2 linked regions of the Schizosaccharomyces pombe genome follow. Changing the gene in region 1 together with any one later gene gives a genetic interaction. Each region holds a gene or a part of one and is shown in the gene's direction. Other genes may lie near its edges.

The links.
Region 2: of arb2 (region 1) and cwf14, extra expression of one rescues a mutant of the other (dosage rescue), as found in Schizosaccharomyces pombe (one study listed by BioGRID).

The regions. Positions count from the first base shown.
Region 1 is NC_003424.3:2,307,255-2,310,910, forward strand, and holds arb2 (argonaute binding protein 2), read left to right. Parts: upstream 1-1,728; 5' UTR 1,729-1,771; coding exon 1,772-1,958; exon of another isoform or gene 1,959-2,004; coding exon 2,005-2,315; exon of another isoform or gene 2,316-2,355; coding exon 2,356-2,413; exon of another isoform or gene 2,414-2,459; coding exon 2,460-2,692; intron 2,693-2,743; coding exon 2,744-2,834; intron 2,835-2,875; coding exon 2,876-2,961; 3' UTR 2,962-3,040; downstream 3,041-3,656. Other genes in the region: met16 (phosphoadenosine phosphosulfate reductase), read left to right, coding at 475-1,275; rixosome complex WD repeat subunit Crb3, read right to left, coding at 3,132-3,263, 3,307-3,656.
Region 2 is NC_003423.3:2,341,703-2,347,900, forward strand, and holds cwf14 (G10 protein), read left to right. Parts: upstream 1-1,838; 5' UTR 1,839-2,001; coding exon 2,002-2,033; exon of another isoform or gene 2,034-2,103; coding exon 2,104-2,483; exon of another isoform or gene 2,484-2,527; coding exon 2,528-2,556; 3' UTR 2,557-2,754; coding exon of another isoform or gene 2,755-5,589; 3' UTR 5,590-5,598; downstream 5,599-6,198. Other genes in the region: endocytosis protein Dip1, read right to left, coding at 109-1,088, 1,209-1,298, 1,394-1,448; msh2 (DNA mismatch repair protein), read right to left, coding at 2,755-5,589, 5,684-5,766, 5,810-5,840. UniProt on the Schizosaccharomyces pombe protein: Involved in mRNA splicing where it associates with cdc5 and the other cwf proteins as part of the spliceosome.

The DNA.
Region 1 (3,656 bases):
AATTTAAAACCAAAAATAAAAAAACGGTGTAGTAACATTAAAATGCGCAAAATCTCTCTCTTTCATCTCGTATTTGATACATTTAATAATATTCATTTATTCTAGTATACAATTCACTAACTATACTTAAATGCTAATGATCTTATTCTTTTTTTCTACAATTTACTATTACCAACTAAAATAGGTATCGTCTTGTTACCTCTTCCTTTGTAAGCATCGATGCAGATCTTCCGTAATAATTATTTTCCAAACCTGTCTGACTATTCTCTAAAAGTCTTACAGAGCACACCAATAGCTTCTATAAAACTATAAAAGTAAGTGTAAGTAAAATTTTTCTGCGTACACGACTCAAATTTTTTTTTTGGTTTTTTTGAAAAGTTTTCGACTTTTTATCTTCGGTTTAAACCATTGGTTCCTCGCCGACATAATTGATTTCGTCCCAAATTTTGGTTTTTCTAATTTATTGTACTCAATATGAGCTCAATCGATACGCCTGCTAATAAATTGCAAGCGAAAACCTTGTTTCACCCAGAACATCTCGAATACATCAACAAGCAGTTATCGGAGCTTAGTCCTCAAGATATCTTAAAATGGTGCCGTTGGACACTTCCTTCTTTGTTTCAAACATCTGCGTTAGGACTGTCCGGGCTTGTTATTATGGACATGTTATCGAAAATGGATATGAATGTTCCTCTGATTTTTATCAACACACTTCATCATTTCCCAGAAACACTGGATCTTCTTGAAAAAGTCAAAACTAAGTATCCTAACGTGCCTGTTCACGTCTATCGTTGTGCTGAAGCAGCCAACGAAAAGGAATTTGCTCAGAAGTTTGGTGAGAAGCTTTGGGAGACAGATGAATCTCGGTATGACTTTTTAGTCAAAGTGGAACCAGCAAGTCGTGCTTATTCTGACTTAAATGTACTTGCTGTGTTTACTGGCCGCCGCCGTAGTCAAGGTGGAGAGCGCGGATCTTTGCCCATTGTTCAGCTGGATGGACCAGTATTAAAGATCAACCCCTTGGCTAACTGGTCTTTTACTGAAGTTCATAATTATATTATTACAAACAACGTTCCATATAATGAACTTCTGAACAAGGGTTACAGATCAGTTGGTGACTGGCACTCTACTCAACCAGTTAGAGAAGGTGAAGATGAACGTGCCGGACGTTGGCGCGGTCGAGAGAAAACAGAATGTGGATTACACAGTCATCCTCAAAGTAAATTCGCACAATATATGGCGGAGCTTAAAAAGAAGGAGACGGCTGATCAGTGAAACAATCCTTTTGTGCAATGTTGTAAACTGCTTTTTTGTTATCGAAGTGCACCATATGAAAAAATACGGCATTTTTAAGTAGACAATTCAAGAGTTTCTCTTTGTTTTAGTTGGTCATTGTGAGAAGGTTTTCAGCATACATTCTTAGTAAATGGGTTAAATTATTATCGTGACGAAGAAGGTTAGGGATACACTATGAAGAAACTTCTCGGTGTTTACACCTATACAAATAGATATATTAGAAATAAGATGATTTAATTATCAAAAAATTGAAGTGGTTTATACGTTGAAATTTGAAGACCTAAAACCATATGAACTTACAATGCTTTCCTCCTTTTTTTTATTAAATATATAGAATAAACTATGTAGTATTGATCTACAAATTCATATATATATTTTTTAACAACAAAAATTGAGTCACCATTCAATTATTTTGTAATGTCACCTACTACTAACCGACTTATCGTAATTTATTATTGGTAAGTAGGCCTTACATATGTTTAGGAAAAAGAAATCCCGTGTACTCCAAAGGGACGTCAACTTTGGGAATTGTCTTGAAGACATGAATCTCCAAATTACCAACGATTTTTACTTGAGGAAGTTGAACGCGCCAAATGAGCTATATGAATTTCAAGTTACCAAAGATAAAGAGTACAACGAAAAATTCTATTTTGCTGTACTTGGTAGGGTAATCATTTAATTCAGGAGTTAACTTGCAATTGAAATTAGATCACGTTTACAGTTGGACTTTACAAAATTCCCTTCTAACACGAATATCTATACCATTGGAATCTTCACCGTCAGAACCACATAGTTGGATATATGCAACACGAAATTGGCAAACTAATGAAAATGGAATAGTTATAATTATACAGTCAATGTCGCACCCCTTAATCTGGTCAAATAGAAACTTGCGCGAAGGCGATGTGAGACGTGCAACTGTACTAGATGTAATAGCCAAATGCACAGAAAAGAAACTTTCAGTTGTAATATTTTCTCCCTCTGCGCTATTATGGGACCAAAGCATTAATTTCCCTAGGGTATGTGCAAATTTATTCAATAATGTTTACCAAAATTTAGACAACCCGTTATTTCACCTCTCAGGGACTTCAAATCACTAAAAAATCTATCATAAAAGGTAAGATTGATTCCTAATATCCAATGAAATTTTTAACAAAGAATAGACGTCGAGACTCCAGAGAGCTATGTGTCAATAGGGTTAAACTATGTAATGTCCAATTCAGTGAGCACTAAAATACACTTTGTGGGTTCTGAATATGGATCGTATTTGCTGAATTCTTACTTGGACTTGAATTGGAAGAAATTTTCTGGCAAAGCGGGAGCTATACTTTTAATTATGAATATGAGCATTAATGAAGAGCTTCATGACCCCGACTATGTTAGCTACCTGATAGAAGTGAGAAAATAATCTTTTCAAATGGAAATAAATAATAACTAAGACTTTCAGCATGCACGAAATTATCTCCCTTCACATGAGCCTTGTCGACATTTAATGAATAGCATAATGACCGAAAGCGGCATACCTAACTTTTCAGCAGGTATGGAAACCTTGACTTAGAACAAAATTTTAACAAGTTAGGAAAATATATCGATGAATTCTATGACTACATTGGCGATGTTTTGCTTGAGATGATTGCTCTCGACACTAATACAAGTAAAAGCTGAAGACAGAGAACAAAATAGTTAACGATAAAAAATTAATTCAACATATTTAATAAAATTTTCCAATGAGATTATAACAAAAGGGCTACAACAATTAGAACCCCGTTGCTACAAAAGTGTAATTATTCCAATCCCTTATAATTTTATTCAAATTTTTAACCTAACAAAAAAAGTTACTTTTGCAGGTATTTTTCCCATAACGCTTGATGAATTTGCTTTAATTCATAAAATAATCTTTTTGCTTCCTTGAGCTGCATTTCACTGGTTTCAGCTTTGGCACGCCAACTGGACTCTGAGCCTTGTGTCTAAAAATTATGTTAGTTCAAAATCTTTAAGAAGTGGACATACGACAATATCAGAGCTGATTTTGAGAATATTTTCCGGTTGCATCAGCTGCTCTACCCCATCATCTTGAATGCAAATTCGAACATCTGAATTTAAGTACTCATTTGTAATCATGCGCTTTAAAACTGGAAAAGAAAGTGAAGAGTTTGAATAAAATGATATCTTGTCGACCTTGCATTGAAGAAAAGAGACCGGCGAATAATACTGAACGAGGCGGCGCAAAACTTGTCGAGAAACACTATCCCAAACCAAAACATTACCATCCTTATCACCACTAATGAGTAGAGAAGCATCAAAGGAAACAGTCAACGTGGTTATTGGGGATTGACACGATATAATACTTGATTCTCTAC
Region 2 (6,198 bases), on another chromosome or scaffold:
GGAGATTGGTTAAAATTTGCAATTCTTTTTGGTTGATCTGACAATAAATGAAGGAAACGAGTGAGGTGCTTTAAAAAAATAAAAAGTTTTTCAGTAGTAGAATAAAAATTATTGAGCGGTTCCTAATGACTTCATCTCTTGTTGAAGCCACGGTACTTCTAAAACACGTATGGCAACATCTGTAGTACGTGCATCTTCCATGTTGCTGCTTTTTGAGTGAGAAATTAAGACATTATTGACCGCGTCGACTATACACTTAGTTTTGTAATGAGGTGGATGGCGCACCTGTGTATTTTCAAGCAAAGGAATCAAAACTTGCAAATATGCATACCGAAGATCCGAAAGCTCATCGGGAATATTGTTTATTTCGCGTATGAATATATCAATTAGGACATTGAGATCATTGGTATAGAATATCTCATACGTAGCGGGAGTTGTAAAAAGAAGGAATAGTTGTTTTAGTATTAACATTCGAGAGCGTGGATCCTTTTCTCGATTTAGAGTGAAAACTAGGCCTTCACTGTAGATACCGTTATCCACTTTGGAAGAGCTCAGCAAATCCATTATGCCATTTGCGATTTCAAACGAACCTTTGGAAGCAAGCCGAACAAGCATAAACTGTTCATTGATGCTAAGCAATGTCAAGACGCACATTCCAAAACTGTCCATGTCCTCATCATTCCAAGCTTCTTCCGACGTTTTGAATAGGTTTACTAAAAAATATTCATCAATTGCGACTAAGTCGGTCGGTGAAAGTCGTCTCGAGCGACAAATATAGTACACTAAGAATAAAGCATAACGAAAAGATGTAAAAGCAACATTTTCTGAACGATCCTTGAACTGTTTCATTGCCTTGATCAAGACGGGAATGAACCCCGTAGAAGCCAACAAACGCAAGCAGTACTCATTCTCTTGAATTTCGGATTGAAAGACAATGATTATGAATTTCAAAGTTTGTTGTTCTTTCAAGAAAAAAAAGCAATCATAGAAAATACTTAAAACGGCGTTTTCGTCTAGTTGATAAAGCGGACTATTGAGGAACTTTTCCATACATCTCTGCAATTGGAATTCTGTAATTAGGTACGGTTCTATTGAATTTATTTTGTTAGATAAGATGTTCTATAAAGAGACAAACACTCAATTTCTTTGTATTTCATCCATAGGAAAAACACGGAAAATTGTGCTTCCCCAATTCTCCAAAACATTACCTCCATATTTGTTGATAAAAGAAAGAAACTTTGAAACACCAATTTCCAGTTCATTTTTTTCGTATGGTATAGTTAAAAGTTCGTCAATTTCTGTCACCAAATGTTAGCGTCAACGGGAATACTATTTAGCCAGGATAATGAATCCCAGGCACATTCAAGTTTACAATTATGAATAAATTGCATACCCGCCAAAAATTGCTTTTCATTCTCTAAATTATAAAACACATCCGTGAACTCCATGTGGAGGTTAGGGAAGGTTTAATTGCCGCTTTCTCATTATCGAGCCTAGTATTCAATAGACAAAATTCTCGCTAATATCCATCGATAATCAACTTTAATATATGATTAGTAGTCAACACAACAGAGCGTCAATGTTATACCATGAAAACAGTATTGTAGTATTATAGTATACAAATGCATCTGGTTCCCTTTTGGCCATATGTTAAGGTATAAAATATAGTGGAGACACAAATTCAAAAATTCTCAATTATCCTCAATTGAAGAGGCTATAATTTAATTAACGGAGAAAAAACTTAGTTTCTATAGTTAAGAATATCTTGCAACAGTTTCAATCGCGGCAGTCTATTTTACAAGGAATTTACACTGGATTCTCACAAATCCAACTTGCCCATAAGTACACTACCACCAAATAAGTAAAAGGATAAAAACTACCCATCACTAGATTTCATTTTATCGGTTTCTTTATATTTAATCTCTTTAAAGCAAGCATTCCTTATTCTGTGTTGGTTTATTGAAGAAAAGTCGTAGTTTGCTTAAAAAATATTCTGTTATCATGCCTCGTCTTCGAACGTCAAGAACCAAGCGGTATGTATACCAAGTATTTTCCTTGTTACCTTTATTTTTACCTACGAAGTAAGATTCTAATTAGCTATAGCCCTCCTGACGGATTTGATGAAATAGAACCCACCCTTATTGAATTCCAAGATCGTATGCGTCAAATTGAGAATACAATGGGAAAGGGAACTAAGACGGAAATGCTAGCACCGATTTTTCAACTTCATCATCAGCGCAGTCGTTATATATACGATTTATACTACAAACGGGAAGCCATATCTACCGAACTTTACAACTGGCTGCTAAAACAAAATTATGCCGATGGAAATTTAATCGCCAAATGGAAAAAACCAGGATACGAGAAACTTTGTTGTCTGCGCTGTATTCAAACCGCTGAGTCAAAATTTGGTTCAACGTGTATATGTCGTGTACCTAAATCAAAACTTGATAAAGATCAACGTGTGAGATGTACTCATTGTGGTAAGTAAAGAAGTGCTATTGCTACCAGTTGCTAATGAAAATAGGTTGTAATGGTTGTGCAAGCTGTGATTAATTGGAAAACTAGTGGTTCGTTTCCCATTTATATCTTTTTATTTGGTTATTATGGCAAATGAAACAGTTTTGGGTTATAAAATTCATTGATCTATGGCTTTTCCTCGTTTTAGTAAAAAATTATTTTATTCATAAAATGCGCTTCCAAAAAACATGTACCTTGGTTGAATTCTTTCAATTAGTACCTTGCTCACATTCTTCATGAGGAAACCTCATTTGTGGATACCCTGGATTGTAGCCAGTTGTTGGAATTGATTTGCTGTGCGAATGAGCCGATGACTTTTTGAAATTGGTCCATCATTTGTTGCTGAGTCATTTCTGGTTTGACGTTGCTACGCCATTGTCTCATTATATCACGTACAATTGCCATACCTTCTTTTTTAGATTTCACTTCTTGAGTATCCCCTTGGGCTCCAGAGTCTTCAGCTTCTAATTCTGCGGCTTTGTTGCTTGCCATTTCAATAATCTTGGGAGGGAAGTGCGCAAGTTTAGCAACATGGATTCCAAAACTCCGATCACTAGCTCCTTCACAAACATTATAGAGTAAAGCTACATCCTTCGATTCTGAATCACCTACATAGGCTGTAACATGCAAATTTTTGACAGTAGTGATTTCTTCTGATAGTTTGGTCATTTCATGATAATGTGTTGCGAAAAGGCAAAAGCAACCGATTTGAGTCACGATGTGTTCTGTAATAGCCCACGCTAATCCAAAACCATCGGTTGTGCTAGTCCCTCGTCCTAATTCATCAATGATGATTAAGGATCGCGGTGTGGCAGCTCTCAAAATCGTAGCGGTCTCCAACATTTCGGCCATGAAAGTAGAAATGCCTTTAAGCTGTGAGTCGCTGGCTCCGACACGTGCAAGGATAGCATCAATAATATCTAGATCAGCCACTTCACAAGGCACTGGACAACCAATCTGTGCCATGACGGTAATAACTCCAACTTGACGGATATACGTTGATTTTCCACCCATATTTGGTCCGGTTATGATTAATAGCTCTGAACTTCCATGCTCAAGATTAACATCATTGGGTATGAACTTCACATCGTCCTGAGCTTCCAAACAAGGATGTCGCGCTTGTTTTAGGTAGAGACGAGCACAATGATTATTTTCTAGAGTTCTTCGTATTTCTTCAAAATTAGGAGTATCTTCTAATGAAACAATGTCCAAAATATTGCTACTTTGTCCATGCTTTTCTTGTGCAATGCTTGAATCCACAATATTTGGTCTTACATAAGGTATTACAGCTACCGTACTTGCATGTGCGAAACTTAGAATCACGTCCAAATGAGCAATTACTTGGCCAATCGCCTCCAAAGGAGGACCGTATGTTGCAGCTATCTTTATAACTTCACGTGCAAGCCCATTTTGGTGGTACCGGTAGCTTTTTTGGTGATCCATATAAGAATTGTTTAGTGAATGAAGACGTTTAGTGGTAAAGTAGACTCCATTTTTTTGAGTTGATAATTCTGTATAATGAGAACTACGGCCTCTTAAACAGCCAGCTTCTGTTCTAGTAAGGCGTAGACACCATCCATAGAGGTGATGTTGCTCAAGATGTAATTTTTTCTCGGTATCTTGGTGGAGATCTGAACCGACCCTTTTATGTTCTTCAAAGATAGAATGCTGTAATTCGTCTAATCGTTGACGCAAATCTAATAGCTCCTCATCAAACTCTGCACGGATAATATACTGATGTGAATCCAATGCTTCCAAGTCGATGGTGGTTTCAACAAGCTCTATTAATTTTTCCAAGTTTTTGCAATGATTGTTAAGGACGTTCGTGTATACTTTATCCACCAAATCTTTATGTTCACTAGTCAAAGAGTCAAGTACCGTAACGATCTTCGGAAGTGCCTTTGCCATTTGATAAATACGTACAACATCTTCTAGACTAGCTGATCCACGAGTTAAACGCCTGCATAGTTTAGGAATATCTGGAATTGAACGAAGAAGATGATCATCATCAAGCAATAACTGGCGTGCCTCAGCATCTTCCACAAGTGCGGAGACCAAGTCATGTCTTCGTTCAATTGATTTTGCATCCAAAAGTGGCTGAACAATCCATCTTCTTAAATTCCTTGCTCCCATCGCAGTTCTACAATGATTAAGTAAACCATAAAGACTCATTGTTTTATGAGCATTACCATTGGGAGGAGGAAGTAGGTTAAGAGAACGAACTGCTGCAATATCTAATCGCATGTATTGTTCCAAGTTGTGATGATACAGATGGAGCTTTCGAGATGTGTTTTCACGGTCGTCTTCCATGTCAGGGTTTAGTAACGCAGGTCCTAAATAGCGAAGCAATGCATTGCAGGATGCCATTGCTAATTGTAGACCTAGTTCTGGAACAAGAGCATGTGTAACTGGACTGTCGAGCACTTTTGAGAGCTCAAGTTCAACATCTCGAGCCGAAAATTCAGAGCTTCTTATAGTTGTAACTAATGCGCCACAACCTTCAATAATATTTCGAAGACGATTGATTTCTGCCGTGTTAATAGAAACGGCTGAATTGCCATTCGTCGATTCATGCCCAGATTGCGATATTATGCACTCTTTCGCTCCAACTTGCACTATGAGAGCTTCAAAGTTCGTATAAGCATCTGAGTCAACAAATTCTGAAACACCTAATTTTTTTAAAATTGGATCTATAAAAGCAACGCCAATTATTCGCTGATCTTGTTTAACCCTAGTAGTAACAGCCAACAAAACCGAACTAACTGAGCTATCACTAATGGCTGTGGATTCTTGATAATTCTCACTAACAAGCAAATCTTCCAGCATTTGCATATTTCCAGGACTAGCTTGCTTCAACAATTCAAATCCTGTCTTTGCGGAATTGGCTCCCCAAATTTCAACTCTCTTTGCAAGGTTGCTTAAAACATCTTCCGCAAACTTAATAAATAGTGAAGGAGATAAGTTACAATAAGATGTATTAGACACATTGTGGTGTTTTAGCACCGAAGTAGTGTGATACGCGTTTTGAGCAACAAACGAAGCGTCTTCTCCTATTGCAACGTAAAATTCCTAGAAAACAGTGTTAGATTGGATTAAAAAATAATAATATTTCAAGTTATTTTTTACGAAGTTTAAGTAAATTTTTCTATTCATCAATACTTACCCCTCGATCAAATACACGCACTGTGTTTGTATCTTTAGGCATTTTTTCATAAAAATTAAACATCCTTGCCTCATCAGTTCTTTCTGTTTTAAAATATTAGTTCAAAGAAGTAACCCCTTGACAAACCATTAGCAATTGAAGCGTTTCTAGAAGACATATTGATTGAATGTTCTAAAGCGCGAACGCGAAATGTATAAAACAGGAGAAGAAACTCCTTGCCACAGTTAAGTCCTCAAAAAGGATAAATAAAAAACCTCAAAAAAAGGAATAGATTTAAAGAATGTTAAATAACGAAGGACCGACGTCGAAAGTAACACAGTGGGAGATTGGTAGCTGCCAAAGTTATATGACACAGAACTAGTCAAACATACTAAAAAATTCATCTAAGCTAATAAATTGAATCTTAAAAATTAATCTATTTAATTAAATGCCTTGTTGTTTAAGTATTTCAACTTTGCATTCGAACTATTAAACACCAATAAATTATATTATAGTGTTTACAAAATTTATCATAT